Linked DNA regions of Mus musculus. The main gene of each other region encodes a partner of the protein of the gene in region 5 in a complex. Links are inferred from orthologs where the notes say so. Each region holds a gene or a part of one and is shown on either strand. Other genes may lie near its edges. The genes, in order: Sarnp, Thoc1, Thoc3, Thoc7 and Chtop.

Region 1 (5,765 bases), on a different chromosome or scaffold from region 5:
TTGTAAATCTGAGGAACCGGCCAAAAAACGTTGCACAGCAAGTCTGAGGTCACCCTGTGGTTCAAGGTGAAATTTTACACTAAGTGAAAAGCTAATTACAAAAGATAACAGATCACACACATGCTTCCATTTGTGTGAAGCTAAGTCATAAATGGAGACAAACATCAGCTTGAATGAAAAATGTCCCCCATAATCTTGGGCATGCCCAAGTCGTTGGTGTTTTAAGAGGTTCAGAAATGTGGCCTTACTACAGAAGTATCACTGAGTGTGGGCTTGGAGAAAAAGAAAGCCCAGTCTACCTCCAGTTCACTCTCTGAGCTCCATGCCTATGTTTCAAGATACGAGCTCACAGCTTTCTGTTCCTGCCACCATGCCTGGTGCCTGGTGCCCTGCCTCTGCTCCACCACCATAAACTCTCAACCCTCTGGAACCATAAGCCAAAATAAATTCTCTCTGACTCCAGTTGCCTTCCGTCATGTATTTTATCAGGTCAATAACAAAGTAACTAATATAGCATGCGCGCATCGGAGGATGACCTTGAACCCCAAATCCTTTGTTCATTTCTCTTGCATGCTAGGCAAGAACACTATAAACTGAGGTACAGATCCAGCCACTAGGCCCTTTTTTTTTCCTCTTCCTCAAGACAGGGTTTCTCTGTATAGCCCTGGCTGTCCTGGAACTCACTCTGTAGACCAGGCTGGCCTTGAGCCTGCCTCTGCCTCCCAAGTGCTGGAATTAAAGGTGTGCACCACCACCATCCTAGCTCTTGTTTTGAGATAGTTTTTAATATATAGCTGAGGCTGGATTTCAAATGGCCATTCTCTTGCCTTTGTCTCCCAAATGCAGGAACACACTGCTATACCCTATCTTAAAGTACTGTATTTTATGTGTACATGTGGAAACCAGAGGACAACCTCAGGTATGGTTCCCCAGGATCTGTTTACTTTGTTTTGTTCTATTGAGAGAGGTCTCTCATTAGCCTAACATTCACCAATTAGTCAGGACGACCAGCCAGAGCCCAGGTACCCGACCCGCCTCTGCCTGCCAACCACTAGGATTATAAGCACGCATTACATAGCCTGCTTTTTTATTTCTTTTTTTAAATGTGAGTTCTGGGGATCAAATTCTTTTCAAGCACTTTACCCATTGAGCTATCTCCACAGCCCTTAACATATCGTTTTTAACATTCTACATAGTCTAATATACTACAGTTTACACTTAACCAGTTAATACTGTATTGGATACATGTTTTTTTTTCCAATTTACTGATCAATATATATGGTGGTAACACAAGCCTCATGGCTAAGTCTTTAAGTATATCAGAGGTTACTTCTTGATAAATTCTTAAAAACAAAATTGTGAAGTTAAATACAGTCTCCTTCACTTTAATACTATGTTAGCTCAGAGCACTAAAAAAGTACACATAGTTTTATGCTAGTAAGACACAAAAATAAATGAACAAGGTACTAAAGATTTCTCAGAAGTCCTAAAAAAGAAACCCAATGGTGCGATCTCCTCCCCATAACTTCAGGACGTTCTCTCGATTATTCATGAGGTCTGAAGGGTACAAATGCAGAGCCTCTTAAGGGCTTCTAGAGCCAACAAAGTTATCTAATTTGGAGGAATGAAATCTATAGTCAGAAAAAAACCCAAAGTAAACTTTCTCAGAAGAACCTCTGTATTCTCACCTTTTGTTGGAACTGAAGAAATTCCAAACCTGTAAGAAGAAAAAACAAGCTAAATTTTAGGAAGCTGTTCACACCCTTAGTTGTCTGTGTCCGTGTCAAGGGTGCATGACACTTCTTTCTTGTGATCTCAAACTTTGCAATCATTAGCTAATTCTAACAACCCCATGAAAGAGGTTCAGTTTACTCTCCTTCTCACCAACAGTCCAGGAGTCCACTAAACGAACTCTTCAGACTCAGGAGCAGCTGCCAGTTCCTGACTTTTACCTATCATAAAAACCCTGACCAAAGATGGCAAAACTCAGTGAAAGCTATAACATCCAAATCAGCAGAAATGTCCTGAGTATGACCCAAACTGTATTCATTAAGTTCAATGAAAACACTTCTACTGAAAACCAACAACTATAACAAGAAACAAAGATCTGACCCCCTACACCACCATAACATTTCTATCTTGTATCCAAACAGGTAGAAGCACTCACCTAGCCGCCCGGGCAGCCTTCTTACTCTCCAGGCTTACAGGTACATTGAATCGTTCAGCCCTCTTCTGCATTCTCTAAGTGATATTAAATGAAAAAATTAAAACTGTAATTTCTTGTTTAAAAAAAAAATTGGTTATGGTCATTTCTTAAGATCTAACGGAAATACTGACAACTTTAGACCATATCAGGTAGCAGCCATTCTAAGGCTTAACACAACAATTGTTTCTAGAAAGCAATCAATCAATTAATCTCTCTCTCTCCCCGTATTCACATTCTCAAAAACAAAAAGAATAAAATCCATATTCTACACAAACCCCAAAAGTTCTATCTTGTTTGAAAAAGTGTATCTTGGGGGGGGATAGTATATCAAAGGAGCATATTGGTTCCAGTACAGGTAATCTAAAAACACCACCACCACCACCACCACCACCATCACTTCCTGCCTGAATTCTAAAAGAAGTGAATAAATCTCAACTATAAGCCAGGCATAGAGGTACACTCCCAGCATTCAAAAAGCAGAAGCTGGTGGATCTCTGAGTTCGAGGCCAGCCTGGTCTACACAGTGAGTTCCAGAACAGCCAGAGCTACACAGAGAAACCCTGTATAAAAACAACAACAACCCCTCTACCTTGAAAGTACAAAACTGAACACAAGATCTCAAATGAAACCTGATTTCAAACATCTTGAGATAGAATCCAAAGAAATTTCACTCTCACCAGCTAACAACTAACAACTTAAAGGAGTATCTGCCATTGCTATTTTTCCAAAGTACACACAATCCTCTCAAACTCTAATCCTATACCTATAGACTTATTAAGTTACTATTAAGGCTACAGTGGTATATGTAATCTATGACAGCTTAAAGATAACAACTCACTATGCCAGTCCAAATATTTTCCTGAGTTGGTGGAGAAAGAAACATCAATTGTCAATATTCCCCTAATTCCCTTAAATAATTTGTCTATGAATAAATTATTTACATGGATCAAACTCAGGCTTTAGCCACAGAGATCTTTACCCAGAGTGCCAACTTAACAGCCCTAAATGAAAATTTTACATAATGATGATGACAGAGAAAAGGTTAAAAACAGGAACAGCCAGGCATGGTGGCACATACCTAGAATCCTAACACCCGAGATGCTGAAGTACAAAGATTTTGTTTGGGGCCAACCTGAGCTACAAAGTAAATTGCTATTCTAAGGAACAAAAAATAAATATAAAAATGAGAACTCAGTAGTTGAAAGTGCAGGCTGTGCAAGTCTGATAACAGGAGCCCATGTAAAGGCAGAATGTGCTAGTATACAGCTATAAACCAAGTTTTCCTGTGGCAAGATGGGAGGTTGTCATCTTCTGGAAGCTCATGGGCCAGCTAGCCTGGTGTACACATCACAGCACTGGAAACAAGAGTCCTGACTAAGTTCAGCAAGATAGTTCAGTGAGTAATGTTCTTTAATGCCAAGCCAGACAACCTAAGTTTTATCTCTGCAACGCACATGCTAGAAGAAAAACCAATTCCCCCAAGTTGTCCTCTGACCTACACAAGCGCACTCGCACACAAACACGGCTCCCCCATATATAAATAAAATGTAATTTTAAAAAATGTTTTTAAAGGAGAGACCTCTACCTCAACAAAGTGAAGGCAGTCCTCTATCCACACATATACCATGGCATTTATGCATTCACAGCCCCACCCACACCTCAATTAAAATTTAAAAAAGAATACTTACTTCAGTCTGAGGTATCCCAGATGTAATCTTTACCACCTTCTTTTCCGATGCCCTAAGAAGACAGATTTTTAAAAGTCAGAAAACTGCTATCTTAACCCAAAGCATTAGAAATGTGCAAGAATCACCTGAGTTATATCCTCTGCCCCACATGTGTCTACCACCCCTTAATCCAAAGAAACATGAAGTCCATAACAAGTCTGACTCCTTGAACTGTCATCAACTGAGAAGAAAAATTAAAATAAAACTAAGTTATTTTAACTGAAGTTCGAGACCATAATCAGCAAAGAAGTCAGGCTAAAAATACAGGGATGAAGGGACACACACATAAGTCATTTCATTTGCTTTTAGACACTTTATAGTTACTTTTGAACTAAGAACTGTATCTCCAACCTCCAATTATATACAAACTCAATTTTTATCACAATATTTAACTAGCGCTGAACCAGCCCTGATTTCCTTCTTTTATAAGTCCCTATTGCTCCCGTGGGATTGTAGCTCTAGCTGAAACCGTCAAAGCAGAACAAATAAAAATGCCACAGGAAGTGGGTGGGAGAAGAAAGGCTGAATTAGGAAAACATGGCGAGTTACTGGTCAAAAGGCTTAAGAGAAAACAAAAGAGGGGGACCGCAGGGGCAGGAGACAAAGTTCGGAAGTCCCCAGGATAAATGGAAGGGCATTAACTCTCCAACAAACAACTCCCATAAAACTGCGGGTCATAACCAGTCTCATTAAGGTCCCTTATTTAGAGACATGGGCAGCTTTTGTTCCAATATCCCAAACACTTTTCCCATTTGATGCCCTGAAAGGTAGTAATGGTTTAATGACATTTTCAGAGGAAGCAATTCTGGAACCTGATTCTCCTCCATCTTTTTGTTGGAAGTCCTTAGACTAACAGGCAAGCAAAGAATGCCCCCTGCTGACCATAAGGAAGTCCTACAATATTTGTTTTGGCTCAGGAGAAAAAAAAACTTAAAACAAGATAGAGAAGTATATTTACACATAACTTCAGGCGTAAGATGATGTAAAGAGATTTCCTTTTGGATATACAAGGGATTCTAATCAGCCTTGGAATATTCAGACTGTTTGCTAACTCTCCATTTTTTTTTATTGCTGTTGTCTGAAACATGGCCCCTTTCATTCAGCCAAAGCTATCTTCAAACTCCTAACTCTCCTTCCTCCACTTCTCTAATGCTGAGATTACAGGTGTGCACTACTATACAATCCCCTACCTTTTTTATCTTTTTAATGCTGGGTGTCACCTTATAACCCTGGCAGGCCTGTAAATTCCTATATAGAACAGATGGCCTTGAACTCTACTTGCCTCTGCTTCCTAAGTGTTGGGATTAAAAGAATGGGCACTGCCAGACATGGTAGCACTCACATTTAAGTCCTATATTTGAGAGGCAGAGACAAGAGGTTATCTGTGAGTTCAAGGCAAGACTGATCTATATACTAAATTCCAGAACAGCCAGGGCTACAGAGACCCTGCCTCAAAAAACAAATACCAGTGCTCAGGAGGCAGAGGCAAGGACAGCCTTGTCTACAGAGCAAGCCCCAGAACAGCCAGGCTGTCTCACAAACCTTGTCGTGAGACAAACCAAACAGGCCTGATCCACCAGGCCCAGTAAAACTGTTTTTAATGAAATTGGACTTCAAGTAAAACATAAACTTTTACTTCTTTTTTCCTAAGACAGGGGCAAAAGCTAGGTTTGGTGGCACACACCTTTTAAATTCCAATCCTTGAGGGGCAGGGAAAGCCAGAGCCAGTCTTCTCCATCAACATCAGGATAATGACTTCCACGTTTTGATTTGGTTTATTTTTTTGTTGTTTTTGAGACAGTACCTCAAATACTTGGCTGAGAATGCTACCA
Region 2 (5,667 bases), on a different chromosome or scaffold from region 5:
ATAACTGCAAAGCTGAAATGACCACTGGGTTACTAGTCCCCTAAAACTTTACTTTAAAACTTGAAAATTTTCCATAGGCGTATACACTCAAAGCTATTTTAATTAGAAACACTTTCTTGTAGAGGAGATGCTCCAATTCCCACTAGTTAGAGTTTAAGCTCTGCTGTAAAACACCTTTCTTCTTTACCTCTTAAAATTATCATTTCCACATTTCATCTATAAAATGTGTTTTAAGTGACTAGTGTTTTAAATTTCATATTTTAAGTCAAAAGATAGAGATAAAATGGTAGAACTGAGAAGTAGATCAAATTAGCTCAACAAAGATCCCCCAGCCTTTTCCAATTTTGTAAAAAAGCCAAGAAAATTCAGTTCTTACTTTCATTTTCCTTTAGTAAAGCATCATTATCTTCCTCGTCTTCATCCTCACCTGTCTTTATTTCTTCAGAAGGGGGCTATAGTAAATGAAGAACAGTGATGTTTAAAAGGACACCAGTTTCTGAAGATAGCTAAGGTGTACGACTTTGGGTAGAAAGAAGATTGAGAAGCATAGGCAGGTTTGCAAATACCTAAGCTTTAGGCAGTACTGTCTAAGGGGCGACAGAAAACTGATAATGCCCATCATTACCATACTGTTACAACAGTGGAAGAGAGCAGAGTAGAAGGGGCTCTGCCAGGTGAGCTACTGCCACTCTTAGACCCTGCTTTTGACAAAAGACAGTAAAACACATTGGCAATGTGGAAAATCTGATCTAGTTTACTGAAGATAGTAATTTTAACACTTTGGGTAAATTGCATGCTGCACAGAAAATTACCAGTATCTCTTACTCTTAGTTTTACATTTTCTCTGTAAATATATTCAACAACATCCTCACCCCCATTCTAAAACATGATGGTCTGCAGATTACTATTTTTGTGAGAAAAGCTAAAGTGAATTCTGCTCAAATAATAATAGTTTTAAAGCAGATCATGTCTACTAGGGTAACGGGAACAATGAAGTGCATCACTTACTGGTAGTTCCTTGGCCAGCTTTATCACCATGTTTTCCAGATACTCTGGTAGACTCTTAAACTGCTGGTTGGTTGGCTGAAAGAAGTGAGGGCTTCTCCGGGCTAAGAGTCTAAGAGCTCTCCATCCATAATTTGAATTATTTACGGCTCTATAAGAAGAGATGTCAGCCTTGTAATTTATAGTTACTCAGTTCCATAGTTATTTTCATGTAACAAGTGTCACAAAATTTTATGCTCTCTTGCAAATAACAGCTCAAAGTATACCATCTTATAATTTGAAAGTATATATTTTGCTTTATTTTAGCAAGTCAATGGTCTTATGTCCCTAGTCCTGGCTACTAGACACTATGCATAGAAACCACCCAGTTATAAAGAAAAGAAAAAGATAATTGTATCCATTATCTGTAATGTTACCTATAGATGCGTGTTTAATCTAAAGCCTAAATGTTTCAAAATCTAATTTGTCTTACTTGCTAAAGTCTAAAATGTTACAAATCTGGAAAAAGAACACTTAGGGCTTCAAGTATTTTGTAATAGGGACCTGTATTTAAGAGTTGTATTATATAATGGCTAATCTTTAATTCATATTAACATCAACCTCAATGAATTAAAAAATGGCTCAGAATGCTAAAGCAGTAAATATCCAGTGGCCGCAGTAATGACATACTGATGTCAAGAATAGAATGGGAAACCGAGAAACAAGGGACCCATGAGAAATCTTAAACACCCCACTCCCACCACCACCAATGACAGAACTGCAGCAAGTACAAATGGATTCCACTTAGGACTTTTTAGGATTTGCCCACCTCGGGAACCCCAAATACAGACTTGCAATCTGATTTATTTAGTGGTGTATAAACAGTTAACTTTAAGTATGAGAAAGATTTTAAGCATGAGATGAGACTTGGGCATATCTTACTTTGTTATTATTATACTGATAGACTTTGTAAGCCACACTAACCTCAAACTTAATCTTCAGCTTCCTGGGTGCTAGGATTATAAGGTCTGTGCTAACCAAGCCTGCTGCTGTGCATGCATGCACATGTGTATTTATTTTAGGCAGGTTCTTTTTGTTTTGTTTGTTTTTTTTTGAGACAGAGTGTCTCTGTACAGTTCTGGCTGTCCTGGAACTCACTTTGTAGACCAGGCTGACCTCGAACTCAGAAATCCACCTGCCTCTGCCTCCCAAGTGCTGGGATTAAAGTCGTGCGCCATCACCGGCTTAGGCAGGTTCTTACTGTATAGACCAGGCAAAGAAATCACCGGCACTGGGATTAAAGGTGTGTATATCTATTTTAGATTACTAGTCGGCCATCACTGGGAAGAGAGGCCCCTTTGCATTGCAAACTTTATATTCCCCAGTACAGGGGAATGCCAGGGCCAAGAAGTGGGAGCGGGTGGGTAGGGGAGCAGGGCAGGGGAGAAGGGGATATAGGGAAAGCATTTGAAATGTATATAAAGAAAATATCTAATAAGAAATAAATAAAATTAAAAAAAAAATTCAATTGTGTATTGTTTTGCCTGCATGACTGTGTCATATGCATGCAGTGCTAAAGAAGGCCAGAAGAGCACATTACATCCTCTGGAACTGGATGGTTAGCCACCATGTGGGTGCTGGGGATGAAACCTGGATCTTCTGGAAGAGCAGTTAGTGTTCTTAACCTGAGTCATTTCTCCAGCCCATAAAGATCACTCTGGTGCAAGGAGAATAGAACACAAAATTAAGAGGTTGGAGTATGTAAAAACTTACCACAGGGTCAAAGCTAGCTATGTCATGTACTAACTACATGCTATGCATGGATCAAAATCAGTTATTTAATCTTCAGAATGTGAAATGAGTGGTTACCATGTAGCAAACGAGAAAAGTGGCACAGGGCTTATTTGTTAGAGCCTGGCCAGTAGTGGTACACGGGAAGAGAACCTATGCATTTTGACAAGAGGGCCCCTGCCTTTAAATCACAATTCCAGAACAGCTTCCTAAAAACTAAAACTGCTGTCACATGGGACACTTTAGAGAAAAGACTGAATCTTAAAAGTTACTGCAGGAATTTAGAGTAAGACAGCAGGTGTGGAGGCAGGTGGAGGGGGCAGCAAGGTGATGGTGAGTGGTTCCACCAAAATTGAGACAGGTCTATTGACAGATGCTGTTGGGACCTTAAAAAAAAAAGAATACTGGAGTGATAGGGAACACAGTCTCAAGTGGGTGGGCTGACCAGAATGGGAGGCTGGTGAGGAAACGAGGTCAAAACCTAAATTGGCTAGCAGAAAAGACTTGTGGAGAATAAACAGTAGAGGTGAAGGTCAGAAGGAGGTATGGGGTGAGGGCTGAGGGGTTATTCTGTCATGTTTTGGAATTGACATGGAAATAAGGATGTTATAGTAATGTGAACTGCATGCATAAACTCATCTAAAAGCACTACTTTGCTGACTTAACTGTAGCATTCAGAGGATTCCCAAGAAAACATGCTGAAATTAGCATCATTTCAGTATACCATTACTTACTTATATTCACTTTCAACCATGTTTTCAGGATCTGCTTGTTCAATAGCTTCTTCAAAGAACTCCTCCAAAGTTGGCATGTATTCTCTGGTCATTGTAAAGTAAACAGTGAGGTTTATGTGTAGTACTCTAAAATGGTGGCAATATTAATTTTAACAGCATCCACATGTGATAATTACATCTAAGACCTAAATGCAGGGACTCTAGATCTCTTTGAGAACATAAAGACTGAAAGCTCAATTCTAAAATGGGACAATAAAGAAGGTATAGGTCTAAAAACGATTCACTCCATATTTCATCAAACCATGCACTGTGATAGACTGTACTATTCATTTTTGAAGACTTCTGTCTGATCTGATAAGCTCTGCCTATCATACCTTTATTCTTTTAGTTTCAACATGGTCATATCTTTGTCTTTATGGTGTTTTATAATCAATATGTAGGTAAAAATTTAAAATACCTATCAATCTTTCTTCACACCAGAATGCCTGATTTTTGTTCATTTGAATTTAATTCTCTGTGTACCTTTGGTCCTTTCTCTCTCTCTCTCTCTTTTTCTTTTCCTTCCTTCCTACCTTCTTCCTTCCTTCCTCTCTCTTTCTTCTTTTCCTTCCTTCCTTTCTCCCCTCTCTCCTTCCTCCCTTCCTCCCCACTCCCTCCCTCCCTCCCTATGTACCTTTGCACTCCTCATTTATTTTAGAGATTACATACTCTGTCTTTACAACTCTTTGAGGCTCTTATTCCTGTCTTCTGATTTTGTTATTGAAGTCTGCTGTTAGTTTAATTTTACTTTTGTTTTCTCTTTTCACTCACCCTTCATTTTTCACATAGACAGGTCTGGCTTATCTATTTAATGCTAAAGCCCAGATATCTTAAGCCAAAGAATTTACGAATTAAGCCTATTTAGTCCTGATCTTAAGAAGAGCTTCTTTCACATTCGTGTGCTCTCTCTGCTGGGCTTTTGCTCAGCTTTGTGTTGTATTGTCTCTTACGTCTCCCAGCTGATGGGATTACAGTAACGAGCCACCATACCCAACTATCTGGTCCTTTTTGACAGTGCTAAGTTTTTCTTGTTTTAACTGCTACTTCTTTATTTTACAGCCTTTATCTGATTCTAGTTTTATCTACTAATTTATGAGTATGAGTATTTTGTCTTCATGTCCATCTGTGTACCACTTGTGTGTGTCCTTGGTGCCCATGGAAGCCAGAAGAGGGTGTTGGATCCCCTAGGACTGGAGAGAAGGAGTGCTAGGAATAGAACTTGGGTCCTCTGGAAGAATAGCCAGCATTATTAACCACTGAGCCATCTCTCTCTAGATTCTTTATGAAACTCATGGTAGATTGTTCCCTTGACAGTAAATTTGGATGGGTTTTTTTGTTTGTTTGTTTTGTTTTTTGTTGTTGTTGTTTTCGAGACAGGGTTTCTTTGTGTAGCTCTGACTGTCCTGGAACTCACTTTGTAGACCAGGCTGGCCTCCTACTCAGAAGTCCGCCTGCCTTTGCCTCCCTAGTGCTGGGATTAAAGGCGTGCGCTACCACGCCCAGCTGGATATTTTTTAGGCTTTTTCCTGTTAATAGCTCCATCTGAAGGTCTGACCTTCAGAGAGTTTACCACCAGCCTAGGATTTCCTAGCTGACAATTTTAGCCTTGGGTTCCCAATTGCTGCTGGTACTAGAAATGTCAGCTGCATGACATGTTCTTGTTTCTCGGGAAAACCCCTAGCAGAAACAAACAAGCTTTCTGGTTTCCACTGTTCTTGTCTCCTGATGCTTCTCTTCCTTTGCAGGCAGTGTCTCTCCTTAAACCAGGGAACCATACTCAGGTTCCTCTCCTGCATCTCTGTGAGTAACTTGGACCATCTTACTGCTTGCTCACTTGGAATATCAAATCATTCCTAACTAAATTATTCTTTTGGTGTTGAGTTCCCATTTCTTTATTTTCTTGTGACCTATAAAAATTTACCAGCATTTCTAGGTGTTTTAAGGTAAACTATATTCTGCCAGGCCCAAAGTTAATAACCACAATAAACTTTTAAGCTTTGATCATTCCTAAGAAAAGGTTTTATTATAGTTTACTGAACACTGAGAAAACGAACAGAAGTTTTACACTTGCCTTGTCTCTGATTTACAGGCTTCCATATTATCAGGACAGAGATTCCAA
Region 3 (6,447 bases), on a different chromosome or scaffold from region 5:
TTTACTTATACAAATGCTCACTGAAATTCCACTATTAAGACTGGCACTAGGAAGGCATTAGCAATTCAATGGAAAACAATACAAACACAGTCCTCTCCACCATGAAATTGCTAGTGCAATGAGAAACCGAGATGATGTGCACATTAGAATATAGAATTAAGAAATGCTTCCTCCTGGGGCTGGAGAAACGACTCAGTTAGGAACACTGGCTGCTCTTCCAGAGGACTCGGGTTTGATTCCCAGCAACCATGGCAGCTCACAACCATCTATAATTCTAGTTCCAGGGGACAGGACACCCTCACACGGACATACACGCAGGCAAAACACCAAAGAACACAAATTAAATAAAATAAATAAATCATTTAAAAAGAAGAAGGGGGCTGGAGAGATGGCTCTGTGGTTAAAAGCACTGGATGCACCTCCAGAGGACCAGAGTTCGATTCCCAGCAACCACATGGCAGCTCACAGCTGTATCTAACTCCAGGTTCAGGAGACCTGACACTCCAGTCAGCAAGCACACAAATGGTGCATAGACATACATGGCAGGCAAAACACCCATACACATAAAATTTAAAAAAAAAAAAGAAATAGGAAGGGCATTAAGATACACTAAAACCCTCTAATCTTGGAGAGGAGAGGATAAAGTGACTTTGCTAGAGGGAAAGTGATATTTAAGCTGAAACTTTTAGAGAGAGAATTAGCCACAATTCAAGGTGCATCAAAGTATCCTGGGCTGGCTGACTAATAATTGAATGTTTACAAGCCTCAGTTCCCTCAGGATCAACAGAAAAATGTATAATCAGTATCAGTAAGAATTCATAAAATCCAGAATGCCTAAAAGAAGGTAGGATTTTTTTCTTTAATACTCTCTCTATCTTTCAAGTCTTTTGGGACAGGCTCACAGTTAACTCCTCCCTGCAAGGCAGGGTGGCCATTGCAGAGGTCTGACAACCCCGGCCAGTGCCTCACCTGAGGATGTTGATGCAACCATTGCCGTTGGTCAGGAAGAACATGTTGTTGTCGTTGTTCCATGAGATCTCATTGACCTCAAACTTGAACTGCTCCTCCGCTTTGGAGCGGTGTGTCTTGGCGTCAATGAAAGTCACAACGTCGTCCTTGTTGCCCACAGCGATGGTCTGCCCGTCGGGACTCCAACAGATGTTAATGTTCTCCCCTGGGAACCCAGATATAATCCGTCAGCAAGCTCACCTTTGCCCATCGGCCTCCAGAGTTTATTCTGCTCTCCTGGAAAGAAGATCAGAGCTACCTTCAGCACTTATTCCTCACCAAATCAATGGAAGGAAGCTTCCGATGACCAAGAGGCGACCGTGAGTCTAGACATTTGTCAAAGCACCTCCCCACTCCAACCCCTGGCACCAGTCTCATCAAAGTCACGCGTGTCCACACTGAACACAGGTTAAAATTTTCAACTTCATTAAACCTTTTTTCAAAACACCTTTTTTTTTTTTTTTTTGTACTTTACTGTCTATAGTGCAGTTAAAAATCTATCAGAAGGTGTATCAAGAATTCTATTGTGGGAGCTTGGTGGTGATGATACATGCCTTTAAACCCAGCACATGGGAGGCAAAGGCAGGTGGATCTCTCAGTTCATGAGTCTAGCCTAGTCTACACCGTGAGTTCTAGGATAGCCAGGGCTACACAAAGAAACCCTGTCTCCCCCTCAAAAATATATGTGTACATATATATGTATATATATGTATGTGTGTGTGTATACACACACACACACATTTTCTCCCCTGTGGGGCTAGAAATGGCTCAGTGGTTAAGAACACTTGGGTTTTTTTCCCTGGAGACCCAAGTTCAATTCCCTGTACCCACAATTCACAATCACCTATAACTACATTTATAGAGGACAAGACGCCTTCTTCCAGCACCTATACACATGTGGTACGTGTACGTACACACGTACACACACACACACACACACACACAGATGAAAATTAAAAAAAAAATCTAAAATCAACAAAACTGCCTGCCTTACTTTGGGTTTTACTGCTGTGAAGAGACACCATGACCGAGGCAACTCTTATAAAGAACAACATTTAATTGGAGCTGGCTTACAGGTTCAGAGGTTCAGTCAAGTATCATCAAGGTGGGACCATGGTAGCATTCAACCAGACATGGAGCAGGAGGAGCTAAGAGTTCTACGTCTTAATCCAAAGGCATACAGAAGAATGGCTTCCAGGTAAGCCAGGATAAGGGTCTTAAAGCCCACACCCACAGTGACACGCTTCCTCCAACAAGGCCACACCTAATAGTGCCATGCCCTGGGCCAAGCCTACTCAAACTACCACACTGCTTCTTTGAACACAGCCTTTAAACAAAACGCACAACTTTCCAGATCGCCCATGGTTTCTCAGCCATTGTAACCTGCCTGAATCTCCCAAACTCTCCACGCCTCTGCACATACTACTCTTGTATAGTTTCCACTGCTCTCCTATACATCTACAGCCTGCCAGAAAAGTGCTCTGTTCTGTTCCTGTCTTCTCCAGACAGACACATACAACCCATCCTGATAACCTGCACTTGCTACAAAGATGCTTGCTGCAGATCACACTAGCTTTTCCTCCAGAACCCCCTCTCTCTGAACTCACCTTTCGTATTCACAGTGGCGATGCATTTTGTAGTCCTCACATCCCAGATGCGAATGGTTTTATCTCCAGATGCGGTGACAAAGAGGTCAGGGTTGCTTGGGTGCCAACAAAGCTGGTCCACACTATCTCCGTGGCCCCGGTAGTTGTTTTCTTTGACCTTAAAAGAACAGAATCCAGATGCCACTTTTATCCAAACAGTGGTGCCTTGAAACCAGCAAAGATCTGGATAATTCAAAACAGAAATCTAATTCTTTTTCCAAAACTACAACACCCCCTCCCCCCCCCCCCCATGAACCTCTCTGAGCTTTGACATTGGCCCTTCCTGGCCTCCCTTCTTTCTTTTTCCACCACCACCTCAACCAACCTGTCCTGCGCTATCATTTTCAAATAAAGCCTTCCTCTCCACCCTAGGGGCTCTACCACCCCATTAGTCCCTAGCCACTCGTCACCAGGGCTCTTCTAGACCCTCACCACTTTCTGCCACCTGACTTCAACCTCCCCCGGCCCGCAGCCACGTCGCCACACCTCTTTACTGCCACTAAGTTCGCTCTCTGCTCTCCGCCAGGCAGCCTCACCCCCTTCGTCATTCCAACTCTTCCAGCCCCAAACCCCTTCCTCATCACCGCCAACGACAGGCCATACCCCTACCTCTCCTGCTTTTTCTCCCTCCGCACACAGCCCTCTTCTCCGCCAAGCCCGTGCCCTACAAGCTCACCAGCCGGTCCTTCTCCAGCAAGAACACGCTGGCAGTCTTGTCGAAGGACCCCGAGGCCAAGCGACGGCCATCGCAGCTCCAGGCGACCGAGTGCACCTTAGCACTGTGCGCCGGGAATTCGCGCGTCTTGCTGTGGCCTCGGAAGAGCTCCTGCATCCCGAGCACGTAACGAGACGGGCCACTGCTCACTGAGCACCAGGGCGCCATCGAGCCGGGGCCGCTCTGGCCGAGGGCCGAGGGGCCCAGGACCGCAGCGGGCGCCGCCATGCCTCCCTCCTCACGGACCGCGCGCCGGAAGCTGGATACTCTGAGTCTGGCGCCGTCGCCCTGCACATGCGCCGAAAAAGCGCCGCGTCGCTCCGCGCTGGCGCCTCTCACTCGCGGAACTACAAATCCCGCCATGCAGCGCGCGTCCACCTTTCCCTTTTGAAATAGGACTGATTCTTCCTTAAATTCGCTTTTTTTTGTTTGGTTTGTTTTGTTTTGTTTTGTTTTCGAGACAGGGTTTCTTTGTTTGTTTCCTGGCTGTCCTGGAACTCACTCTAGACCAGGCTGGCCTCTAACTCAGAAAACTGCCTGTCTCTGCCTCCCAAGTGCTGGGATTAAAGGCGTGTGCCACCACTGCCCGACTTGCTTCCCTCCCCCTCCCCACCCCCCACCAAGAGTTCAACTTTTTTTTTAAATGGTCTTCTTACCAGTTTCTTGGTAGCCTTGCTTATTCAAAAAAGAGAGTCAAGATAAATCCTCCAGTTTACCTGCATGTAAAATATCTTTTTTCTAGAGTTGTTTTTCACTGTAAGGTCCTCATCGTGCCCTTAAAGCAAAAGGCCATTGCAAGTTGTCGCTCCTGGAGAAAGGTTAGATGTTTGTGGAATGAAGGAATTGATAAGAAATGTGGGTTTGAGCCGGGCGTGGTGGCGCACGCCTTTAATCCCACCACTCGGGAGGCAGAGGCAGGCGGATTTCTGAGTTCGAGGCCAGCCTGGTCTACAACGTGAGCTCCAGGACAGCCAGGGCTATACAGAGAAACCCTGTCTCGAAAAACCAAAAAAAAAAAAAAAAAAAAAAAAAAAAGAAAAAAAAAAGAAAAAAGAAATGTGGGTTTGTCGGTTGGACTTGGGAAAAGTTGTTCGGTTAATTTGAGATTTGGTTTGTTCGGGGGTTTTGTTTTTGTTTTTAGTTTTTGAAGACAGGGCTTCTCAGTGTATCCCTGACTGCCCTGGAACTCACTCTACAGACCAGGCTGGCCTCGAACACACAGACATCCGCCTGCCTCTGCCTCCCAAGACGTTTTTCTGTCTTTTGATCTTGGTTGTTAAAGGATATTGTATATACATGATAGTAAACTAAAAGAAAATAGCGGAAAGTACAATGACCATTTTGTGTGCCATGCTCACATCTCTGATCCTCCCACTTATGTCTCTGTTAAACCAAAAGATACCCGGGTGGAAAAAAACAATGGTGCACAGCCAGGATTCGCCAAGCACTGGAGAAGAACTGTGCAGGGATAGGGGACACCAGAGGAATATATCCAACAAATATTCGTGTGAAAATGTCCTTATGAAGCCAGCTGTGGTGTCGCAGGCTTATAACCCCATCACTGGGGAGACAGGGACAGGCAGATCCCTAGGACTCACTGGCTAGCTGTCTAACTTCCTTGGCAAGTCCCGGGCTAATGAGTGACCCTTTCTCAAAACAGAACAAGGGATGGTGCCTCAGAACCACCTCCGTGTTGTCCTCTGGCCCCCACATACACACGTGTACTCACACATGCATATCCATGAAATCATTTTAAATGGGTCTATCCCTGAATACCGTGTTCTGTACTCTGTCTGGGACTGGAATTCCTGTGTATTTTCCCTACATATTCTCTTCTGTTACTTTCAGTAATAGCTATCTCCCTACCTGAATATAATTTCTTGAAATCTGTCATTCCATTGTTTTTATGACCCAGCAGTCTTGGCCCCCTCCACTGGTATTTTGCACATAGTAGGCACCCAATATTTACTAAATAAAATGTGAGAAAATGAAAGAAAGAAATCCTTATATAACAGTACCCTACACAATGAATATTCACAAGAAAAAATATAATTTTTGATGGGGAAGGGGGGTTTACGACAAGATTTCTCTGTGTATTCCTGGCTGTCCAGGAACTTCCTCTGTAGACCAGGTTGGCCTTGAACTCTGAGGTCCATGTGCCTCTGCTTCCCAAGTGCTAGGATTAAAAGAGTGCTCCACCATGCCTAGCTAATAGTATCTTTAATTTTTTTTTTTTAAGGAAAATAGAATCGATAGAGAGATGGCTCTCTGTTTAAGAGCACTTGCTGTCCTAGCAGAGGATTGCTGTTCCCTCCCCAGGCACCCACAAAGTGGCCCACAACTCTTGGTAACTCTGGTTCCAGGAGATCTAGCGCCTTCTTCTGGCGTCCCAGGCCCCATGCAAAAATCCTCCTTCACATAAAAATTTAAGGAAAAAAAAAAAAAGGAAAAGGAAAAAAAAATGTGTGACCTTGCAAAGACGCTGCAGGGTTTATGGGATGATGCAGCCTTCCTTACATAATTTGCTGTCTTTCATAAATATATATAGACTTCTAGTTGGGGATTGATTTTTGTTCTTTTCTTTTTTTTCCTTGAGAAGGGGTCTTGCACAATAGCTCAGTTGGAGAAGTATAATAGTTTAATTCAGTTGCTTCCTTAATGAATTATTGCAATGAATATCCCTATACAATCTTCATTATGCACTGTGCACTTTCTTTGGGTAGTGTTATAAAACAATTAAAGAGGAGTTTCTAAGAATCTGCAACCATCCATATAAGGAAATATAGATCCTAAATAATAAATGAAGCCACGTAAGCACATAGCTCCTGCTTCTACACTCTCCTTCCTACCTCGTCATAATCAGAAAGTTTTAGAAACTGCAAAGATGTTAGACAGGACTAAAGTGTCAATAAAATCACTAAAGTCTTTGGGCAGAAAACTATGTGTTATCTCATTTTCCCTCCTTCCCTTCTTTTTCAAATATTTCATGTGACTATATATCTTACAGACACTGAGGACTTGTGCTTCTTATATTAGGTAAGGAAACTGACGAAAGGGACAAAATGGCCTTCCCCAAGT
Region 4 (6,348 bases), on a different chromosome or scaffold from region 5:
CATTTTTGTTTACCTTCTGGGTTTTCACGTTCTTTTAAACTCAGTTCATTATGCTTTGAATACAAATGTAAAGGATGAATACTCCTGGAGATCCTCCATGCGTCAACAGCAAAGTCTCTGACAAGAGCTCCACTGTGAAAGCATAAGGGTGTAAGCACGAGTGCAGTGGGGACAGGCCCAAAGGACACCCTTAGCAGAAACCTTTAGAATAGCTTTCTTTGAAACGTTGTTCAAAGTACAGATTTATCTGATCATCTAAATGTGTTTTAAAAATACTAATGTTTTCAAGCTTTAATTACCAAACAACTTGAAGAGATCAAGGTAAATAAGACATAGTCCTTAAAGAGATTAAAATGCAGAATTTCTGAGTACACACACACACACTCTCACACACACTTCTGTCACACACACATTTTGGGACAAGGTCTTGCCCTGAAATTTGCTGGCTTCAAACTCCCAGAAGTTGTCTGCTTCGGTCTGTCAAGTGCTGGAAGGAAAGGCACACCTTGGGCTGGAGACAGTTCAGTGGTTAAGAATGCTCACTGCTCTTCCTGAGGACCCGAGTCCAGTTCTCATCACCCACCTGGGATGTCAAACATAAATGCAGAAGGAAACAGAGAGGGACTAAATACCTCCAATATTAAGTCTGGTAACTAAAAATATTTAAACTATGCTTTGTGACCATGCCAGCTGTACACTTTAAGTTCTGTGCATCATTACATAAGAATGTAGTATTACTATTTATAAAGGTTTTGCAAAATGTGCACAAGTCAAATAAACCAAATCAATAGCCCCAACCAACTTAACCTCCTCTGGTAGCTCGGACTATCCTGGCTCTGCCTTAGTCTCCTAATGGCTGTTACAGGGCTGAGGTACCATGACTGACTGACCAGAGTCTCTCTGTGTCGTCTTGGTGGCCCTTGAACTCACAGACACCATTCAGCCTTTACGTCTGGAGTGCTGGGATAGGAGGCGTGAGTCACCACACCCAGACTGACTGCACTATTTTGTAATTGGGTTTGATGCCTACAGAGGTCTTCTAAAGATCAATTAAATTAAGATCAACTCAATTAAACACTAACAAAGACTAGCACTTATTTTCATTATCACAGCAACAATTACTCGTACAAAAGGTGTGAGCAATTTGTACACAAGATGTGAGTGAATTCTGAGAATGGGAAGCCTTGCACTTTTGGTGTAGAATTAGCACCCATTCAGCACACTGAGGTGTCTAGTTAGAAGGACATACACCTCAGAGGAGGTAGAATTTGACTGGCTCTTTATCAGTCCATTCCATTTTCTCACCTATGATGCCCAGTGCTGGGGATGTGGCTTAGCTCAGTGGTAGATTACTTGCTTAGCATGCAAAGGGCTCTTGGTTCAACCCCTAGTAACATGCATATACACATAGTGACACACATGTTACTGATATCTATGTTCCAGCATCTCTCCCTCTAACCTTCCCCTGAACCTTGCACCTCATATTTGCTGATGGCTTATTTAAAACTGACTGCAGTTCAATTTTCTTCCCCCAAAGCAAAGGAAGGGGCACTTAATAGAGACACACTTCTCCATAGAGAAGTGGAAAGAGGTTACATAGAGAAGTGGAAAGAGGTTAGCAAACAACTTCTGTGTTTAGGAATATTTACTAAACTTTAGTATGTATTTGATTCAGTACAAAGTCCTTTATAACTTTTACTACATTTCATTTTCAAAACACCACTCCAAGGTAGCTTTTATTGTTTCTTCATCAATGCAGAAAATTGAGTCTCAAAGAAGCTGGGTAACCTCCACAAAGGGGAGAAGCTTGTAAATGTAAAGTGGGGCTTCCTCTGGCCTCCAAGGACTAGGGGCTCAAGTTTCCTTCTCTCACCAGCAGAATCCAGTCCTCTTTTGGAGCAAGGCACAGAATCGTCCAAGTCAGAAACCTAAGATAACCTCTGAGCTCCCGCATCTGAGCAGTCCTGACATTCTCTATGAGTTCTGTTCACTTTTTGAATTCCCTCAGTTGGAGTTTTGTCATATTGATCAAAGACCCCCTTACCTTCCACTAACCCACTACAGAAGGGGCTAAAATCAGACCACGCTAGCTGGGCTGAAATCGGCCTCAGCAGTTAAGAGCATCCGGCTGTTCTCCCACGGGGACTGAGCTCAATCCCAGTACCTACATACCAGTTCACTACTACCTGCACCTTCTTCAGCCCCACAGGACTGAATACTCTTCTAGACTCTGTTGGTTTTTAACTCACTGAAACTCTGTTATTTAATTCCTTTGGGTACTGGATTCATCTATAAAATGGGGATAACTAGAACACTGTGCAACACATGCTGCAAAATATTATATAAATGTTAGTGAAAGAGAGAGTGATGTCTGCAACCCCCTTCCCATTTCCTCAATATTCTCCAAAGAGTAGAATGGGTCTGTGAATTGTAAACGCACATCTGGTGCTGAAGATTTGGATCAGGATGTAAAACAGTTTTCTAATGAACAGGACTATGGGTTCTACTCTCAGCATTGCAAACAAAGGCGTCAGTTAATTAAATAAAAGCAAATGTGATCACATCACAGTAACAGTTTAAAACTTTCAATGACTGGACGCTGTGACATGTGCCTTTTGTCCCAGCACCCAGGAGGCAGAAGCAGGGGGAATCTCTGTGAGTTCCAGGACAGCTAGAGCTACATAGAAAGACCTTGTCTCTTTTTTTCTATCTTTTTTTTTTCTTTCTTTTTGTTTTTTTGAAACAGGGTTTCTCTGTGTAGGCTGGCCTAGAACTCAGAAATCCGCCTGCCTCTGCATCCCTAGTACTGGGATTAAAGGTGTGCACCACCACTGCCTGGCAAGACCTTGTCTCAAAACCAAACCAAATAACAACAAAAACCCTTTCACTGGCTTTTCCTGATCTTGGAAATTTCATGGTGTAAAGTTTTCTAAGTTCTATATGCCATCTTGAATTTCTTTCATCATTTTGGCAAGTGGTTGGTCACTTGTAATTCCAGTTTTAAAACACCTATTTACCCTTCAAAGGAAGGGGGAAAGCAAATTTGTCAAGTTTTCTAATCACCAGTAGAAAGACCACCTCAGTTCAATTCCCAGGACCCATCTGGTGGAAGTGAAGAAGTGACTTCAGCAAGTGTCCTCTGACTGCCACTCTAGTAGGGTGGCCTGCCTGGGGGAGGGAGGGAGGCAGAGACAGCTCAAAGAGAGGCAGGCAGGCGCGCGCGCGCGCACACACACACACACACACACACACACAGCCACCCTACCAATTTTTAATGTTTACAGCCACTGCAGACGTATAAGAGGAAACACCTTTACCTGCTGCTTCTGGGTATCAAACGTGTTCAGTAAAGTATTGCCTAGAAGTAAGCTAAGTACTTCCTGAATAAATTAAACTCGAATTAAAAAAAAACAAAACCAAGGTTAAAATCCCCCCTACCAAGTTCCGAGGCCTTTATTTATACCCACATCGGTATTTCCTCGGCCCGTCCTCAAATTTGGGCCGATCGTTGTTCATTTCTGGAAGTCCCCTGTTTCTCCACTGGGATCCATAGCTATTGATCAGCCCATCAAACAACATCAAGCCACCGGAACCTTTCTACCAAAGCGGGTACCTTCTCAGTTCCTGCTCCAGTTGCCTATCGTGTCAGTCCATCCTTCTCCCAAACGCGCTCTTATTTCTGCTCTCAGCCCACAGACATCTACTGTCCACCATCCATCACTCCTAATCCACTCAGGCCAACAACTCACCCGCTCCAACATGCCTTCCTTTTGTTGCCGCGGTCCAAGCCGCCGGCCTCTTCCCATGCTGGCGCCTTACCTTGTAAGTCGCCCAGATACACTTCCCGACCGGCCCTCCAGACACCCCTGTTCCTCTTAGCCGCCGTCCCCAGCTCGGGGTCCTCACTCCACCGCCCTCCGAGCTCCTGCGCTCCCTGGGGCCCGCCGCGCTGCCCGTGGGCCCGACCCAGCCCGGCCCGGGAAGCCCCCCAGGCGGCCCCCTCGGGGCACTGCATCGCCCGGGCCGAGCGAGCCGCCCTGCGCCTCTCCCCGCCGCGCACCGCCCCGGGAGCCCCCCACCCCAGACGGCCCGGATCCCGGCGCTGCCCCGCGTCCCCGCACCCGCCGAGGCCTCACCGTCAGTCACGGCTCCCATGGCGTGCGCGGCGGCGGCGGCGGCCGAGCTGAGGCGGCGGTTGGCGGCGAAGGTCAAACTCCCACAATGCAGCCGGGTAAACAGTCATGGAGGAGGAGGCGGCGGCGCCCGCCGCCCTCTCCGACTTTTGAGTCGCGCCGGCGCGCGCGCCGCGCCGCCGCGGACCCGCGCTCGCCGCTCTCCTGGGGCGCGGAGCGGCCGGCGGGTGAAGGGCGAGACGGGCGGCGGGAGGGCGGGCGGCGGCGGCTGGGCCCGGGGACACCGCCGTCCCGCCCTGCCCGCGCCCACAGGCCGCCCTGGAGGCCGCGGCCAGCCGCCAGGTGAGCTTCGGGCTGCGCGCGCTCGCGGGGCTCCGCGCCTGACGCTCCAGGTGACCTCTGTCCCGGGCTGCCCCGACCGTGCGCTCCGGTGGGACGGGGGCGCGGCCACTGCCGCCGTGGGTCTCGAACCCGTATTCTTGAGGCGGGCGCGGCAAGCCATCCTCCCTTCCTGAGCTCTGGCGGGTGCTGGCGAAGCGGGGGAAAGAAACTTGGTCACCTGTCTGGGGAGCGTCACTCAGGACCCAGGGCTCAGGTCCCTCCGGTTCTCACCTCTCATCCAGTTCTCCCTCGCTGCTGGAATCCAGATGGGGTGCCTTCATTTTCATACTAACTTTGCTTTTCAAAAACTGCTTCTTAAAGGGAAGTTGAAAGTAGGTGTTGGGGGTGGGGGTGCTGCTCATTGCAAACACATTACTTGGGGGTGCGGAGTACACATTTCTAGAACACACTGCAGGTTATAGTGTCATCTCTTCTGAAAAATGAAATAAACCACCCCCCTCCCGGGGGGGGGGGGGGAGTCGGGCAGTGAATGCGCTCGCCTTTAGTCCCAGCACTTGGAAGGCAGAGGCAGGCAGTCGAGGCCAGTCTGGTCTACAAAGTGAGTTCCAGGACAGCCAGGGCTACACAGAGAAACCCTGTCTCGAAAAACAAAAAACAAAACAAAACAAAACAAAAAAACAAAACAAAACAAAACAAAACAAAAAATCATTTTGATTCAACATTGAGGAATGTTCTCCTAGTGGAACCATGTTCCTGTTGAGAGTTGATTTGACCTCCAACAGGGTAGAGTTTGACTTTATAACCCAGGTTTTTGTTTATCAGTTTTCATGATCCCAATCCCTTGAACCTTCAGATCCTGCATAAGGCAATGGTGTGGGGTCATTTTTTGGTTGTTGAGATTTCTTAAGTGGGATCCATGCATCGGCCCTGTGTTCCCTCAGTTCTTTCTAGCGGAAGACTTGGGATCATTCAAGGGAGGTGGTTTTTAACCTCTAGGCAGAACTATGTATGGGTCAAATACAGTATCTACTTTTGTCACAAAGGCAGAAATTACCCTGAATGAAGATTTTGAAGCATAAATGACCTCTTCCAAATGTGGAACTGCTCGCTGACTTTTTGAAAGAGTACTGGTCTAAAGGCTCCTCCTAACTTGGACTTTGGACCATGTTCATTTCCTTGGCGTAGGAAGGAGGGTAATATTAATCTTAAATTCAGCGGGGTGGTGTGTGGTAGCCTATCTGGGCTGGCAGGTTTGTGAATTGAAGCTAATCTGGGTCTGAACATTGAATTTTTGGCCAGCTGGGCTACATAGGCACACCGACCTCCTTCCCCGGCCCGCCCCCCCACCCCCACAAGCACCAAACAACAGAATCCCAAACCAAACCTAACCTAACCAAACCAAATCCAATTAATTCGTAAGTACCTCTAAACACTGTAAATGGAACATCACCTGATCATTTCTGTGTTCTGGGTAAGACTTTGCTAGGGAGACTTCTTGTTTACAAGAAAACTGCCAAGTAGTGAAAGGATACTTTGTAAGAGCATTTCTTGATTTTATCAGCATCTTGCTGACTTGGAAACAGTTATGTAATGACAGCAAATAATTGTTAATGTTTTCATGGGAAACTAGCACTGCCTTCTATAAGCTTCTGTGAGATAGCATGTCAGGTTGTCACAGACCCCTTTCATAAGTTTCTTTGGTTGCTCACAGTTTTCTTAGGCAGGGCTAAAATTTTTTTTAAAAAAGACTTGGAGTATATTTGAAATTGAACATTCCTGAAGATTATTGGCTCAGGTAATGGGAGACCAAGTAGTAGGATATGTCTGAGCCTTTGGAAGTCTTTGGAGTTTTCTTAAAGCCGTATAATTGAAT
Region 5 (5,765 bases):
CTCAATCAAGTAAGGATTCAAAAGTCAGGTGATCTTGTTCAGTATTTTCTTCCTGGCTCTTAATGCACAGCACAGTAAGAGGCCTGTGATCTTTTCTCCTAAACAACCACGGTCCAGTCTACTAGTACTTTCTAGGCAGGTAATTCTTCCTAAAGGCTTAAAGGGGAACACAAGCTTTTTCTACCACAAAGCAACATTTCCTCTACCCCTAATATCTTTTTTTTTTTTTGAGACAGGGCTGGTGTAGCCCTGGCTAAACTGTAACTAATTCTGAGATCAAGCTGGCTTAGAACCCACCTGTCTCTGCTTCCCAAGTGGCAGATGGTTTGTACCACCCTCTTACCTGGCTCCACCCCAGGAATTTTCAACTATACAAGGGACATATTAACACACCACAAAAATGGTTATATAGCATTTTAAGACCCCCCCAAATAAACAGAAAGCCTGGGTTAAATTTTGAGAGAACAATTTGTTATAATGAATCAGAAATACAAGATTCCACTGAAACTGAACAGCTGACAAAATATGGTTGAACTTAAACCTTCAAGAGGGTCAAATAAAGCCAGTTAAGTGGAAGGTAACTGCACTTCAGCACGAGCAGCACATGAGCCCTTCCCAGCAGTCAGTTTGTTACCAGTTTCCCACTCTTGTCTCTTCTGCCACTTGTGCTACACCAACAGCTGCTTCTTCTCTGTGAGAGGTGCAGAAGCCTCTTGGGCATGAGACAGAAAGCCAAAAGGAGAGATTTATAAGCTTAAAAATCTTTTCTTAGGGTGGAAATTCCAACTTAGCTTGTCAGCTACCATCTATGTGGTTTCAATGTAGGCAACATCAACTTTGACCAAATCAAAGTTGGTACCACGTGTTACCCATTCTGTGGCCCAGTAGCAATACCAACATTTCCAATTTACTACCTTCACTATCAACATAGCAAACACACCTTTAGCTCCAGCTATTAACAAGAAGCTTTTAAAGAAAGATGTAGAACTCTATCCCAAAGACCACCCAATAGTGAAAACTCTAGCTCCTTCTGGGATCATAAAAATCAACAGAGGAAATATTTAAAAATGTCAAGAGTATATGACAGGCAGAGGCTAGAAAACTGTTCTACTCACAAGGCCAACGCATTCCTGTTCAAACAGATATCTGGGTGACTGGATAAACAACAAAACAAACTCAACCAAATTTAAAGGAAAATAGGGTTTCATATAACACAGTATCAAAAAGTAGACAGAACAGACTAAATGCACCAACTGGTGGCAGGTAAGTCCACAGCCTATTGTGACAGGTCCTTCCAGCATCGATCAGATTTCTTCTCATGTTTTCTCAAGGTTGTTTTATAGATGTGGTGACTTTAACAAGAGTCTAACAGGCAGGCGGGCAGGCAGGCAGGCTTCAATCATTGGTTTCAGGATCTGTCTGTGCCATGTAGGCATCCAATTCAGCATCCAGGTGTCCTTTAGTTTTCGACATGTATGCATCCAATTGGTTGTCCAGCTGCTCCTTGGTCAATACAGGGCGAGTGAGGGCACCTCTCCCTCGGCCACGACCTCGGCCTCTGCCTCCAAAGCCCCCTCTTCCCCGACCTATCATACCCCGACCTGGCCAAACGAGAGAAAGAGAGAGAAGAAAAAGACAGTTACACATTAGTTTGATGGGTCCTAAAAAAAAAAATGCCCCTTTATAGTTGTGGGGCCTAGCTGAGACAAGCTCAAAGACAGGGCAAAGAGGAGAGATCTGAAAAAACAAGAAACACACTGGGCAGAAAGCAGCACATGAAAAGCACACACAATGAGTCCTCTTAAGTATTCATCTCTAAATGCCACTATAAGAAAAAAAATCCTGCCCCCTCCCACTTTGAGACAGGGTCATACCATGCAGACCAGCTAGCCTTAGACTTGCACTCCTGGGCTGGAGTATAGCTCAGTTGGTAGGGTACTTGTCTAGTATGCACGAAGCTCTGGGTTCAATCCTTAGCCCCACAAATGCATACCTGTAATCCTAGTATCTGGGAGGCAAAAACAGAAGGATCAGAAGTTCAAGGCCAGTCAGGGCTACAGGAGACCCAGTCTCAAAAACAAAACAAGACCCTCCCAGTTGCTGGGATTACAAGTGTATAATATTAGCTGAAAAATATTAAACAACATTAACCTCCCCCAAGACCAAAGAATTATCTAAAGTTTGGGACTTACTGTAAATTCATAATTTAAAACATATTACATATAGTTAGGAGGTAGTAAAAGGGCACCCCCCCCCCAAAATCAAGGGTATTCATATTAAGCTTTAACTGAGACCTTTCTGGATTGTTATCACATTTGCTTTATAAGTTTATTAAGTTTAATGAAGTGATCCCATGTATCCAATGATTGAAAAAACTTAGCTACTTCTCTGACTGGTTACCTTAAGACAACTATTATCTGAGAAGTAATTTCAATTCACTAATCAAATACTTAACTTTCTCAAAATTGACTTTATTTAGTTTTTTTCTAACCTGTGAAGTCTCTCTCAGAAACGATGTCAATACAATCTGGAAGCCTTATCCTGAAACTCAACCTTGTACTTCATTCGATAAGTCAAGTGACATAATAGCAGGAAAAATAAACCTTTGTTATCAAATATCATTTCCTAAGTTGTTATTCAGCACCTTCAAGACTGTGGATTATGAATACCTGCCCCACATTTTAGAAAGAACGAAAACAAATATCCACAGTGCTTACTAGAGTAAGATGCTTCATGCTATCAACATGTATTGGGAGTTTCTTACTCAGTTATAAGCCAGAAAGCTCCCATGAAATTAGTTACTAACACCACCATCATTAAACTCTTTTCTAATCTGGTCCATGAGGTCACAGGACAAGAATCAAGGCATCAAAAGTAAGATTACTAACAGCTGACCAACTGGTTGTAACACATCTTACTTTCAACCTTGATCAGGAAAACTGTCTTTGGTTCCTCAAACACAAATGCTATGTTAAATTTACTTGATTTTAAAGCCAACAACAGGTGCCAGGTCTCATCCCACCACCTAATAGTGCTGCTGGACTGAATCTAGTCTCATGCATGCTAAGCATGTGCTGTACCACTGAGCTACATCCTCTGCTTCTGACCATTCTCCTTTATCTTTGCCTCACTTTCCTATATCTCCCTCTTATTTTTGTTTCTATGGTGTGGGACTGAACCCAGGATCTCACAAATGCTAGGTAAGAGCTGTATACTGTACTTTATTTCCATTCCACTTCTCTTATTAAAGTTAAACTGGCTTTGGGCTATGGGATGGGTGTGTAATGGTGGTGATGGTGGTGGCAACAGGCAGATACAGAAAAAGGGGACAATTCCAAACTAATCACTGCATCATTTTAATAACAACAACTTACATTTCTGAGAGCCTGTAGAAGAATGCCTGAAATGTGGCTCTAGAAAATGTACCTGTTAATCCTGACAGAGCTTTCCTTATCACTGTGTGAATTTAGAAAATAAGCCAGTTTCAAAAAACAAACAAGACAAACAAACAAGCCTGCCTATGACTTGAAGCTGTGCAGAAAGTTGGCTCTGAGTTTTGAAGGGAGGAAAGTAAGGGGAGCTATTCTCTGAAGTTGGTAGCTGACTAACCTCTACCACCGATTCCGCCACGACCCATAGCTCCACGCCCTAGGCCCCCTCTCCCAGGACCTCCACGACCTCGAACACCACCTCTTCTTAAGCCCATTCGGGGAGCTACGGCTCGTCCACCTCGGAGCAGGTTTTGACCTTGGAGAGGAGGCATACAATGTATATGCAGGTAAATCCAAGAGAGACAATGTAGATTGTAACCAAAGGAAGGCGGTGAGGGTTAAATAAGAATAATTAGTTAATTTTTAGTCTAGGTGGGACAAACTGCACAGTGCGTGTGTGAACAGGTTAAACAGCTCTTTATTCAATTTAGTAATTCTGACAAGCTATCTTTGGAAAAAGCTGGGACTTAAGTAAGTTCATATGTTTAGTAAATTAACAATCAGATGCCTAGCATTACGGTAGATTTGAAAATAAATGCTATGATTCTTGCTTTCAATACATTTTTTAAGGGGGCAAGAATTTTATAAAGGGAACAGTGTCCCAAGGGTATGATACAGATACGTAGGCACTATGGATCAAACTGTCCCCTCTCTTTCCCCTGTCAGATTAATAGTTTTTCACTTCAAGAAGACAGACAGTTAGTCATGACACAGGCCAAAAGACTCATATTTTCTCTCTTGGTATTGAGGATATTCAACCCAGGGCCTCGCACATGCTAACCATACATTTCTTAGATGTATTTCTAGAACTTGAATATGCTTTCATTCAAGCAGCAGCAGGTGTTTTAAAATGGAATGGAGATGACATGAATTACCTGTTGTTATGCAGGTCATAGCCTCTCACCATTACACATCATTAGAAAAGAAATGATATTGGTAAAACACATGCAGCAGTACTAAAAATATGATTTCAAAGCTATTAATTATATTAATACAAATTCAGGATTAAAAATGCTAAACAAATGTGTCGGTAAGCAGTCCAAGAAAAAGGGGAGGAGGATAGAGCCCAACCATTATTAGCTACACAGACACACTGACCTCGGAGCGACATCCCACCCCTAAGCAGGGTTCTGGTAGCACGTCCCCCACGTAGTCCTCCTCGGGGCAAGCCTCTCTGGATTATGGGTAGGCCTCTTCCTCCAATTGCTCCCCTGGCCAGGGCACCTATGGGTCGGCCTAACCGTGCCTGGATATTACTCTTACCCAGGCGCTGCTTTAAGCTCTTCTGAAAGAAAAGGTGTTAAGAGGATTGAGATCAACAAAGCAATTCCATGGGATTTGGCAATTTAAAGTACAGGACAAAAAGAGGCAAGTCAGACACTCGGGGTGGAAGGTATAAACCTGTTGTGGGTAACGTAAGGATCCCAAATCAAAGACTTTTCCTCAGAACATGGATAAAAGCAGAATCCTGAGCCAGAATAAAGGCTCTAAGAAGCTTTAATATCGTCTACAACAGCAGAGCCAGCACAGATAACCTTACTAATTTGGCTATTCAAATAATACAGCAGTAGCTGCAAACTCGCTGCTTCTGAGCCATAGGTTAACAATGATGTGACTTTACCCATATCTGCCTATGGACTACACTGTTTGCAAAGGCTTACTCACACACCATAGGAAGTGCGTCACATTCTGGGTAAACTTAAATTACAAGTTCACTTGAATTCTTGAGACTCAAAGGACAAGATTGACTTCTCAGTTAAAGAGGCCAGTGTGTTGAGGTTTTCCTTTGAGTATCTATCTCCAGACGGTCCTTTTTTAAAACCTTAAGATGCAAATAAACACAAAAATGTCAACATTCCTTTCCTTACACTTTTTAAAAATTCTGTAAATTCCACATCTCCCCTTGCCAACAGTTTCCTTAAGCCAGTACAATGGTCTTCTTAAACATACAATTCAATTTTATCTTCATAGAAAGCCAGCCAAATTCATGTTAAAATGAAAGCAAACTGTTAGCCACAAAGGGCCACCACACAAAGAACAAAGACACACTAAAGATAACAATTTTCAATAGTTTCTCCAAAAGATTCTGAAGATGACATTTCAGAGAATTCGATTTCTTCAGAAGAGGAGACAATACAGCCTCAAATACAATCAAGGCCCCAGTAATTCTGCTCTTGCACACAATCAACTTCCAGCACATTCTAATGGCACATACATCTCTGCATATATATTTCCTTCAATTAAGAGCTCTGAAAAGGATGTTGTGGCATTATC

Evidence for each region.
Region 1: Chtop (region 5) and Sarnp share a complex: the UniProt entries of both Homo sapiens proteins name them as parts of the transcription/export (TREX) complex. The link is inferred for Mus musculus from reciprocal best matches to the Homo sapiens genes CHTOP and SARNP.
Region 2: Chtop (region 5) and Thoc1 share a complex: the UniProt entries of both Homo sapiens proteins name them as parts of the transcription/export (TREX) complex. The link is inferred for Mus musculus from reciprocal best matches to the Homo sapiens genes CHTOP and THOC1.
Region 3: Chtop (region 5) and Thoc3 share a complex: the UniProt entries of both Homo sapiens proteins name them as parts of the transcription/export (TREX) complex. The link is inferred for Mus musculus from reciprocal best matches to the Homo sapiens genes CHTOP and THOC3.
Region 4: Chtop (region 5) and Thoc7 share a complex: the UniProt entries of both Homo sapiens proteins name them as parts of the transcription/export (TREX) complex. The link is inferred for Mus musculus from reciprocal best matches to the Homo sapiens genes CHTOP and THOC7.

What each region holds. Positions count from the first base shown.
Region 1 is NC_000076.6:128,844,713-128,850,477, reverse strand, and holds part of Sarnp (SAP domain-containing ribonucleoprotein), read right to left. Parts: intron 3,947-5,765; coding exon 3,895-3,946; intron 2,242-3,894; coding exon 2,168-2,241; intron 1,718-2,167; coding exon 1,689-1,717; intron 1-1,688. UniProt on the Homo sapiens protein: Binds both single-stranded and double-stranded DNA with higher affinity for the single-stranded form. Specifically binds to scaffold/matrix attachment region DNA. Also binds single-stranded RNA. Enhances RNA unwinding activity of DDX39A.
Region 2 is NC_000084.6:9,987,617-9,993,283, reverse strand, and holds part of Thoc1 (THO complex subunit 1), read right to left. Parts: coding exon 5,620-5,667; intron 3,594-5,619; coding exon 3,510-3,593; intron 1,157-3,509; coding exon 1,009-1,156; intron 453-1,008; coding exon 377-452; intron 1-376. UniProt on the Homo sapiens protein: Component of the THO subcomplex of the TREX complex which is thought to couple mRNA transcription, processing and nuclear export, and which specifically associates with spliced mRNA and not with unspliced pre-mRNA.
Region 3 is NC_000079.6:54,465,211-54,471,657, forward strand, and holds the start of Thoc3 (THO complex subunit 3), read right to left. Parts: upstream 3,631-6,447; 5' UTR 3,598-3,630; coding exon 3,331-3,597; intron 2,773-3,330; coding exon 2,616-2,772; intron 1,175-2,615; coding exon 970-1,174; intron 1-969. UniProt on the Homo sapiens protein: Component of the THO subcomplex of the TREX complex which is thought to couple mRNA transcription, processing and nuclear export, and which specifically associates with spliced mRNA and not with unspliced pre-mRNA.
Region 4 is NC_000080.6:13,957,049-13,963,396, forward strand, and holds the start of Thoc7 (THO complex subunit 7 homolog), read right to left. Parts: upstream 4,156-6,348; coding exon 4,137-4,155; exon of another isoform or gene 4,016-4,136; coding exon of another isoform or gene 3,820-4,015; intron 3,169-3,819; exon of another isoform or gene 3,018-3,168; intron 584-3,017; exon of another isoform or gene 412-583; intron 133-411; exon of another isoform or gene 14-132; intron 1-13. UniProt on the Homo sapiens protein: Component of the THO subcomplex of the TREX complex which is thought to couple mRNA transcription, processing and nuclear export, and which specifically associates with spliced mRNA and not with unspliced pre-mRNA.
Region 5 is NC_000069.6:90,498,507-90,504,271, forward strand, and holds the end of Chtop (chromatin target of PRMT1 protein), read right to left. Parts: intron 4,777-5,765; coding exon 4,590-4,776; intron 3,748-4,589; coding exon 3,610-3,747; intron 2,009-3,609; exon of another isoform or gene 1,875-2,008; intron 1,602-1,874; coding exon 1,396-1,601; 3' UTR 33-1,395; downstream 1-32. UniProt on the Homo sapiens protein: Plays an important role in the ligand-dependent activation of estrogen receptor target genes. May play a role in the silencing of fetal globin genes.